Linked DNA regions of Caenorhabditis elegans. The protein of the gene in region 2 purifies or fractionates together with the protein of the main gene of each other region. This does not show direct contact. Each region holds a gene or a part of one and is shown on either strand. Other genes may lie near its edges.

Evidence for each region. The genes of interacting proteins can lie anywhere in the genome.
Region 1: the proteins of asp-4 (region 2) and mppb-1 fractionate together in Caenorhabditis elegans (co-fractionation; one large-scale study listed by BioGRID). This does not show direct contact.

The regions. Positions count from the first base shown.
Region 1 is NC_003282.8:9,072,592-9,077,537, reverse strand, and holds mppb-1 (Mitochondrial-processing peptidase subunit beta), read right to left. Parts: upstream 2,866-4,946; 5' UTR 2,862-2,865; coding exon 2,829-2,861; intron 2,783-2,828; coding exon 2,660-2,782; intron 2,611-2,659; coding exon 2,524-2,610; intron 2,464-2,523; coding exon 2,334-2,463; intron 2,281-2,333; coding exon 1,895-2,280; intron 1,812-1,894; coding exon 1,707-1,811; intron 1,652-1,706; coding exon 1,532-1,651; intron 1,481-1,531; coding exon 1,384-1,480; intron 1,336-1,383; coding exon 1,040-1,335; 3' UTR 967-1,039; downstream 1-966. Other genes in the region: mans-4 (alpha-1,2-Mannosidase), read left to right, coding at 1-115, 163-763, 806-944; Nuclear hormone receptor family member nhr-11, read right to left, coding at 4,018-4,119, 4,170-4,318, 4,639-4,754, 4,801-4,932. UniProt on the Caenorhabditis elegans protein: Catalytic subunit of the essential mitochondrial processing protease (MPP), which cleaves the mitochondrial sequence off newly imported precursors proteins. Preferentially, cleaves after an arginine at position P2.
Region 2 is NC_003284.9:13,218,185-13,223,565, reverse strand, and holds asp-4 (Aspartic protease 4), read left to right. Parts: upstream 1-2,103; 5' UTR 2,104-2,138; coding exon 2,139-2,224; intron 2,225-2,805; coding exon 2,806-2,992; intron 2,993-3,038; coding exon 3,039-3,162; intron 3,163-3,289; coding exon 3,290-3,532; intron 3,533-3,743; coding exon 3,744-4,287; intron 4,288-4,340; coding exon 4,341-4,491; 3' UTR 4,492-4,581; downstream 4,582-5,381. Other genes in the region: skr-20 (Skp1-related protein), read left to right, coding at 29-550; R12H7.4 (G_PROTEIN_RECEP_F2_4 domain-containing protein), read right to left, coding at 4,635-4,739, 4,789-5,040, 5,087-5,173. UniProt on the Caenorhabditis elegans protein: Aspartic protease, which is part of the necrosis cell death pathway. Involved in neuronal cell degeneration. Involved in heat stress response.

The sequences.
Region 1 (4,946 bases), on a different chromosome or scaffold from region 2:
AAGTATGAAGATGTGGCGTTCGGAGCATCGGAGCATGTTCACAATGTTGGATGTAAAAAGATGGATGGACTGTGCCCATTTTACATTGACGGAAAAGGAGAATTCAAAAAATCAAGTTTGTTTGAATATCAACTAATTTAACAAAATTCTTCTTCTTTTTAGGTATTACTCTTGGAGCTCGTGCTGACAGCTACTACGAATATCTTATCAAGCAATGGCTTCAAACCAAAAAATCAATTGATTGGCTGCGTGACGACTTCATTCAATCCATTGCCGCCATGAAAAAGCATCTCTATAGACAATCTCAGCCGAATAGCATCTGGTTTCTCGGTGAAATAACCGAATTGGCACAGTTCTATCCAAAAATGGATCACCTTGTCTGTTTCCTTTCCGGATCTCTTGTACTTTCCCATTTAAATGGTCTTGATCATGACAATGAACATTTGGAAATGGCTAAAAATATTGGAAATGTTTGTCATAAAATGTATGAAAATCCAACAGGACTTGGACCAGAAATAATACATTTCAATATGGAGGATAGTTCTGATATGACACAAGCGGATACTTATGTGAAGAATCTTGATGCTCATTCACTTCTCCGTCCAGAAGCAATTGAAGCGTGGTTCTATTTGTATCGTGTTACTAAAGATAAGAAATATCAAGAGTGGGGATGGAAAGCTTTTGAGTCGATTGAAAAGTATGCAAAAGTGGAAACTGGTGGATACAGCTCAATTGACAATGTGCTCAGAAAGAAGATCAAAAGGTTTGTCAGCATTTTGTTTAATTTTTAATCATTCAAATTCAGACGTGACAAAATGGAATCATTCTTCCTTGCTGAGACCCTCAAATACCTTTACCTTCTAATGGCTGATGATCAAGAAATCCTTCCACTCGATCGATGGGTTCTCAACACTGAAGCCCACCCACTTCCAATTTACAATTGACTGATGCTGTATTTTTCACTTTTTGACGGGTTTTTAGAATTTATTTTTACCAAAAACAAAACGTTTGTCTAACAAATAAACTATAACACATGTATCTATTGCATTCTGATCAATCTTCCATGAATTTCTTCATTAACTGGCCAATACTGCGTCTTTCCAACAACTGCTGCAGAGACCTGTCCTTCAAGGAATACACGTCGGCAAACATCTCGGAGCTGCTGGACTGTGATTGATTCGATTCGGGCATGTAATTCTGGAGTTGGTATCCGACGACCGTAGCAAAGGAGTTGTCGACCAATATCTTCACAGACTGGAGTTGAGCCATCGAGCATTAGGAGTAGATTCGTATGCAGGGAGCGCTTGGCACGATCAACCGCTGCTTCATCAATGTCTGGAAATGAAAGATGTTGACTCAGGACTATGTTAAATAAAAACTCACTGTTCGCAAGCCAAACCCATTGTTGAAGAACTGAATCAATAAGATTGTCGATGGATTCCGGAGCAGCTACGAAATAAGTTCCAACTAATCCTGTCTCCTGAATTACAGAAATATGTAAAAAGAGTTTTTTTTCCCAGGAATTCATTACTTTATAGCACGTGTTAAATGATTGGAAAACCTCAATTCCTGCGTCTTGTGACAATTTTTCAGCCAAGCGAGTTGGAGCATTCACGCCGAATCCACGCATACGATCGTATTCACCCATTAGCTGGAATGATGAACTATCAACTTCTAAGTTATAAAAATATTTTTTAAAAAAGTACCGTATTAGCCACCATAAGGGCAAGATTATCTTCATGGGTCCAAGATACTCCTTCGACAACCATCGCTCCGTACAACATTGGAAGATCTGGAATGTCACCTCGAACCTGAAATGTAAACATTTAAAAATATATTTTGTTAATTCTATTTAATATTTGCTGATAGCGAATTTATTCAAACAAAAACTGACTTCACAGGGACTGTAAGTGGCTGGGACGAATTCAGTTGAAGAATCTCCATGCTTGAGCTCTCCGAAATATTTTTCTGCCATTTTAACAATCGCATCATGATTGACACCTCCGGCTGCTGCTAATACCATTCTGCCACTTCGATAATGTGTATTAATATATCCTTGAAGATCATTCTTATTGATTGTTTGAATTAATTCAATTGGACCAAGAATTGTATAGGAAAGAGGATTTCCTTTGAAAACATCAGCATGAAGAATATCAAATACAACTTCTTGAAAGTTTTGTGCAACTTCTTCCATTTCTCGAATAATTACACCACGTTCTGCTTCGATATCTTTAGTGGCAAGACTGCTGTTCAGAAGAATATCCGAAAGAATATCGACGGCTGCAATTCGGAATAGATATTTTAAAAATTGCATTAATAATTTTATTTCTTACATTGGTCAAGCTTTTCTGTAAAACATTTAGCATAATACGTCGTGCTTTCTCTAGAAGTGTACGCATTTAGATGAGCTCCAATATTTTCAACTTCAAGCTCCAATCCCATTCGAGTCCGGCGAGGCGTTCCCTGAAAAATTCGGATTTTTATATGAAATTCAAAATTTTCTAAAAATTAAATTAAACTAACTTTGAACGCCATATGCTCTAGAAAATGAGCTGTTCCATTGTTTTTCTCATTCTCGTAGCGACTGCCGGCATCAATAAATACTCCGATCTAATAAAAATAGCTTTGAACAAACAAATAATTTAGGAAAAATAATTACAGTAGCAGTAGATCCACCTGTGTTTTCTGTTGCAACTCTGAACCCATTCGGAAGTGTCGTTACAATTGTTTCTGGGACAAATACTGATTTCGGCTGAACTTGTGCGATTCTTCTTTGGGAAGTCTGAAAAATAAATTACTTTCACTGTAAACAAAATTGTTTAAATTACCTGATATAAGCCGGAGGCTAGTCTTCTGTACATTTATCTGAAAAAAATTTATATGCTCTATTTTCAAGGAAACAATGGTTACGCAATAGTGAAGCTCAATTTGTCGGCTAAACACAAACAAATCTACGTAATACTGGAATAAAAATCTTTTTGCTGACATTGATACAACAAAACGATTAGAGTAACGAATTAAACAAAAATTGAACAGAATTGCAGAAAATGCTTCTAAAAAAGTGAAATTAACTTTGTCCACGAGGTGTACGTAGCGAATGGAAGAACTTTCACAAACGCGGCCGCCGCGGGCAAAAAGGCGGAAGTTTGAATAAAAGATTTTGAACAATTGCACGCGGTATTTCATAACTTCGGAATTTCCAATTAATTTTTCAGATTATGCAGACATATAAAATTTCGAACCAAATAAAAAACATCAAGGGGCTCTCGTTTAGAGCTTGTATTTTTGGAAAACGATGTCCAGGGAAACGGTAATTTTGGAAATGTCCTTTCGGGGATTATTTATAATCGCGCACAAACAGGAGTGGGTATCTAGCGATCCTTATTCATGATTACAAGAGAACAAAAGAGCATATCGTGTTTTTTTAATATCTAGAGCCAAATGTTCATAATAAGTTCTGATCATTTCATAATGAATCAATTTCTAGAAATTAAAAAAAAAAACGATATAATCTGAAAACTCTTACTACCACAGTACAACTACAGTAACCCAACAGTATCTCTCCATGAACTCCAACTCAGTATCCCATCAAAAGAAAACAACTGAAATTTACTAGAACTACTTGAGAACAAACTAAAACTGTGACCTATGCATTTTTAAAAAATATTCATACATTTGTTCATATCTAGAATATATGTACTATGAAAATTAATTTTTAATTCGTATGTAGTAAAAAATCATTAGTAAAGGATACAATCCTTGTCATTGTAGTAAAAATGTCCACCGTAACAAAAGATACAAACTGTAGCAAAAGATCGAAATGGGATAACGGAGTAAAAAATACGGTTGTAGCAAAAGAGTAAAACGTCGTAAAAGATCTATGTATGCAAATCATAGTAAAAGAGATCACGTAGTAAGAGATCAAGTAGTAAAACAGTATTTGCCCTTGTTTTATTGACGATCATGATAAAACAATAAAATTTGAACATAATAAAACACTTTCACACAAATATTTAGCTAGTATTGAAAATTAAGCATTTCATGAAGCATTGAATCACAGTTGAGAACATTGAAAACTGTGAGCATCACGTAAGAAGTTGTGAGTTTTTGAGCAGATTCCTGTAATATCCTTTGTTTGCTGGATAGCTGTTATACAAAAATAAACAAACCCTGAGATAATTCATACTCATCAGAAGTTCTCCAACACGATGCTCTCCGCCTCCACCTGGTGAATGACACATTTTTGATAGAAAGCCAATTATGATATTCCTTTGTCTACGACATTTTTCACGGCCATTTTCAGTTAGCTTGAAGTATGCTGAAATTATTGAAGGATTAATTTGAAAGTTGAATACATTTTTTTAAAAAGATTATGAACTTATGTATATCGTATTTGAATTTTTATTTAAAACAAATCTAAATGTGTTAATCACTTTGGCAGAGTCACTCCTCCGTGTAGACACAAAAATATCTGTCTGATATGCCACCTTCACCTGCCTACTGCCAAAATATGAGTTTATTTTACGAGAAAATGATGAATTTAAAAATTAACACTAAATAAACACCCGCCTGGAAAAAAAGTGGTAAGAGTTTCAAACACAAGTTAAGCTATCTCTGAAACGTGAAAAAATAACTCACTAGCTTGCCATACTGTAAGTGCCTTCAACAAACAAAATTCTTCAAAAGTGACATTCAGTTTGGAAAATGGGACGATGCTTTCTTCCCAAATGGCGATGTGCATTGGCATTAGAGCTCTGAAATTATATGCAATTATTGTAATTGTTGTAGCAGAACAGTTACCTATACTTTGAAAAGTCCTCATCGCAATCAAAATATCGTCTGGCATCAATTTCATTTCCGGACATTGGTAAAGGATCCATATTCAGATATTCACCATTTGTCAATACCATTTGACGATGTGCTTGACCGAGTCTGAAATCATTTTA
Region 2 (5,381 bases):
TTTAATCAATTACCTTTAGTTCCACATCATGACCACACCACGATCTGCGCCCTTGTACAAACTGAAGTCAGAGGATGGTCAAATTTTTAATGTCGAACGAGGACCAATGAAATTTTGTGCATTTATCAATCAGAAGTTTATTGACCATGGAGTGAACGACAGAAATTGTGAACGAGCAGATCCAATTCTCGTTCCATTCCACTCATCGATTGTTCAAGCTGTAATAGAGTGGCTTTACCATTATCAGGACAACCCGCTCGCCCGACGAGACTCCAAAATTCGTTACCACGATTTTTCCGAATGGGACAAGCAGTTTTTCAACGTGGAATCGGGAGTTCTTTTTGCACTACTCAATGCTTCTCATGCGCTTGGAGTCGAAGATTTGATGAATATGGGGTGTGCAGCCGCAGCAGAATTGATTCGAGGAAAAAGCACGGAAGAAATTCGCAAGATCTATGGAATCAGGTCAGATGAAGAACAAATGGAGGAAGCGTTGGCAAATGGTGGAGAGGGAACATCTGCAATGACATTCACAACGGATTCTGATTGATGTTTAATTTCACATATTGTGAAGAAGATGTTTGAAAGAATATATTTATACACTTTGATTCAAGTTTATTTGTGAATAAATTATTTTACAAACCTCATAAATGAAAAATTGAAGTTATAAGAATGTAAAAGAATAGTTGGAAAACAAAACAAACAACTAAAGTGTCACTACTAATTAAAAAATTGCTTAAAATTAAATATCAAAGAACCATATGTAAATCAAGTTCTCGTTGTTTCAGAATATGAGGTGAGCCCCCAAATTACCGGATTTTTATTTCCGATTTTTTCTGATTTTGCATCCAATTTGGCCGAACTTGTACATTTCTGGTGTTTATTGCAAAATACTAGGTTTTAAAAGAACTAAACGTTTATAAACTTCATGACGGAATTGAATGCAGCGTTCTGATTACTAAATCTGGAAAATTTAATAGTGTGCTTTTTTTTAAAGTTTTTTTTTTCATCTGCCTTAATTTGCCCTTTTTTGTGGAATATTATTTTTCAATTTTGTTAGTTAAGTAAAGTTTCACTATGCTCAATTCTTCAGACTTTGGGGGGATAACTTTTTCGAGAGTTGTGATTAAAAGATACATAATATTCATATATCCAGTGCCGGTTGTTTCCAATAATAGTTTTTATTGTATAGCTTTTTTCATGCTAATCCATTTCATCTAAAATTTTTTATGTATGCATTAGGACATTGCATTAGGACATGATAATTTCATCAACAATTTTAATGAAAACTGAAAATTGAACATTGAACAAAAATGTCAACAATGTTATACGAAAATTGTATATAGTTTTTCAAAAACAATTTTTAAATCTCCTGTAAGTTTTCCACGCAACTTGTATATTTTATAGGCTTAATTTAAGCAACTACTTGATATAGGAGCCCTTGAACAATTGTAGAATCTGTTTTGTAAAGCTATAACCCAATCATAGTTGTTTTAAGATGAATGAACCTAAATCAATATTATCCTTAGCATTCAAACACTGTTGTTCACAAATCAGACGGAAAAAACGGGCAGCATCCACGCTATTTTCCATCCACAAAAAAACCTCAATTTACAGAGCTTTTGTGTCTTCTATGTTTAACAGTTTAACATTAAAATTGCTTGGTCTTCCAAACGTTTTGGTTTTATTTCAAAAGTGGCCATGCAATTTTTTTCATAGTCCATTGCGTGATTGACTAACTGTCTTTCAAACTCCGTCAAAAGTCCCAATTACTGTCTACAACAACCTTGAAGACAAAATTAGATAGGATCTTGATTTGGCCGAGTTTTGAAATTATCCCATTTTCTCTCCCCTAAATCGAAACAGAACAAAGTTTCACAATTCCCTTATCATTCAAACTTGTCATCTCACCGGTACAGACGGACACGTTGACAACGGTCAGGCCATTTTTTGAATGTTTAGAATTTACTTTCCGATAATTATGCATGACAGCTGGAGGAATAACAACGAGACAGTTGACCTTGCAGCTGCTGTTGTGCCGGCAAAGAAACAAGGCGGAGTCATCATGAAGAGAAAGGGGAGATAAGAAAAGGCACAATTGAGATCGGAAGAGGCATTCAGTTAGTTTCATCGTCAGGATGAACCGCTGTATTCTTTTGCTCCTCGGAGCACTTCTTCTCGTTCAAGGTCTTCATGTTCACAAGAGGCAACAGAAATTGAGAACGTAAGTAGAGGTCGTTGGAGGTTTGTTGACACCTCATTTTGATCATCGATATAGTGAAAATGTTGGTCATGTTTCTTAATATTAGGTGCCACGCAAACACCTACTTATGACATAACTGAATAGGTGTGATAATGTGCAAGATTGATTGATACTTGAATCCTCGGTAATGAGTAACCTTGTTATCTGTTTCAATATTATATAATCCCGTCAGAATCTCATTTAGACAGGATACTATAAAGAACTGAAAGTTGTCCATTGTTTTTTATTGTAGTTTCAAATCTGATTTTGACATTAAAAAAAAAACCTAATAAAATTTTTCTAACTGTGAAAGGATTATTTAAATTCATTGGGTTTTGTTGGGAACACTTCTTTCTACTTTGATCATAACACTTTTTCTTTCTATTTTGTCTCACAAATCTAAGATTTCGAGAAGGCACATCATGCCACTTTTTCTCTCGATGGGTCACAAGACCCTCCTGCTTATCCCATTCGAGTTGATCAACACTGCTCAAAAATCCGAACAACAAGAACAAAAACAAGTGACCCACTCAGCAGTTGCTCAGTTCTTATTCTGCTTGCAGCGTTTCCCTGAAGAAGCAGCCGACTCTTCGCGAGACTCTTCTTCAAGCCGGTTCATTCGAAACCTTTGCCAAGCATCGTCATGGATATAAGAAGTACTTGAAAACCAATGGAAATCATCATTTCGACAAGTACCAAGCTTTGAATGTTGAAGGAGAGATTGATGAGCTTCTCAGAAACTATATGGATGTGAGAATTGAAACAACAAAAAACATATAACTAATCAAAGTTTTAGGCTCAATACTTTGGAACCATCTCAATCGGAACTCCAGCTCAAAACTTCACAGTCATCTTTGATACTGGGTCTTCCAATTTGTGGATTCCATCGAAAAAGTGTCCATTCTACGACATTGCATGCAGTAAGTATTTCATCACCAAATCAAACTGATATCATGCTTTTTCTTGTGAACTGATGCTGACCGAAACGTGTTTGTTTTTGACAGTTTTATGGTTTGGACAAACAAATAAAACACTTTTTCATTTCAGTGCTTCATCACCGTTACGACTCAAAGAGCTCGTCAACATACAAGGAGGATGGTAGAAAGATGGCAATTCAATATGGAACTGGATCCATGAAGGGATTCATTTCAAAGGATAGCGTTTGCGTCGCAGGAGTGTGCGCTGAGGATCAGCCATTTGCTGAAGCAACCAGTGAACCAGGAATCACCTTTGTCGCTGCCAAATTCGACGGAATCCTCGGAATGGCTTACCCTGAAATTGCGGTTCTCGGTAAGAGTTTGAAGTAGACTGGGATACACCCGGATAATCGGAAGGGTTCAGCATTTTGTTTTAGTTATAAAAGCTGTGCATTGAACATTTTGGTGTGAAGTAATAATAAGTTGCATCCTGTATGCCATCAAAGGTACAATAATTACAGAAAATGACTTTTATTTTCTGAGCACTTACTAGGTTTTCTCACTTCTGTAATACTCTATTGCAGGAGTTCAACCAGTGTTCAACACTCTTTTCGAACAGAAGAAGGTCCCATCGAATCTTTTCTCATTTTGGCTCAACCGTAACCCAGACTCTGAAATTGGAGGAGAAATCACTTTTGGAGGAATTGACTCAAGAAGATATGTTGAGCCAATCACCTATGTTCCAGTCACCAGAAAGGGATACTGGCAATTCAAGATGGACAAGGTTGTTGGATCTGGAGTTCTTGGATGCTCCAATGGATGCCAAGCAATTGCTGATACCGGTACTTCTCTCATAGCCGGACCAAAGGCTCAAATCGAAGCCATCCAAAATTTCATTGGAGCTGAGCCTCTCATCAAGGGAGAGTACATGATCAGCTGCGACAAGGTTCCAACACTTCCACCAGTCTCTTTTGTGATCGGAGGACAAGAGTTCAGTCTTAAGGGAGAAGACTATGTCCTTAAGGTTTCACAGGGTGGAAAGACTATTTGCTTGTCTGGATTTATGGGAATCGATCTCCCAGAACGCGTTGGAGAGCTCTGGATTCTTGGAGATGTCTTCATTGGAAGGTGAGCCATATCTTTTCTCAAATTAAACATTGACGAACCCAATGAAAAATCAGGTACTATTCCGTCTTCGATTTTGATCAGAACCGTGTCGGATTTGCTCAAGCTAAGACCGCCGATGGCCGTCCAGTTGATCCAGCTCCACGACCATTCCGTTCTGTCTTCGACAACGAAAGTGAGGAATCCATGGAACAAGACGACGAATAATCAACACGTTATTTTTCTCACAAATCCAGGTTTTTAAAATATTTTTAATTCATTGGCTTTATAAAACACTTTATGTTTAATAAATATTTTTCTATCAACACAATTGAAGGCACATAATCGAAAAATGCGATCATTTAGCGCCACTAAGCAACAGATGGACGAAACAAAATGTCTCCACTGTTTCCGCTATTGCTCGAATCGGTGAGCCATGAGTAGAATTTTTGAGACTCTGTGTGCTTTGTGGGGTCCTAGAAAAATAAATATAGTAGACACATCAAAATTGATAGCAACACTCACCAGTCCTTTTCCTCTTTGTGTTGATTTTTTCGGACTACTATTTCCTGATGTCTCATCTGGCTCTTTCGAGTCGCCAGCTCCAGGTTGCTTTTCTGGATTTTCATCTTCATTTTCTAGAGGTGTTTTTTCCTGAGGATTTTCAATCTTCTCATCTTCTTCATCATCTTTATCTTTTTCATATGTTGAAGGTTTCGGTGGACACATAGCGTATAAACTAGCAAAACACCCCGAACCAGCCCACTTCTGACAGGTCTGAAAAGCAAAAAAACAGACTGTGCATGAAAAATCAGTTGCTTACATTCAAATGTCCATATGTGTGGCAAACAAAAAGAGCTGGTCCAAATAGGAGTGTCATGAAGGTGACCAGAATAAACAAGTAGAGTTTCTGAATTGAATTTTATTAAAGCCATAGTTTCATGCATATCTGGCTCAAAAACAATTAGCGGTTTGATAATTGCAATAAATTAAAATGACGTTTTGCATAATAGTAACAGTTTGTTCATACGTATGATCTAAAAATTCACGAATGGTTTTTATAGTTTACTTCGAAAGTGTAACTTTTTTAAAAATTTCTTTCTATTCAAAACTATAGA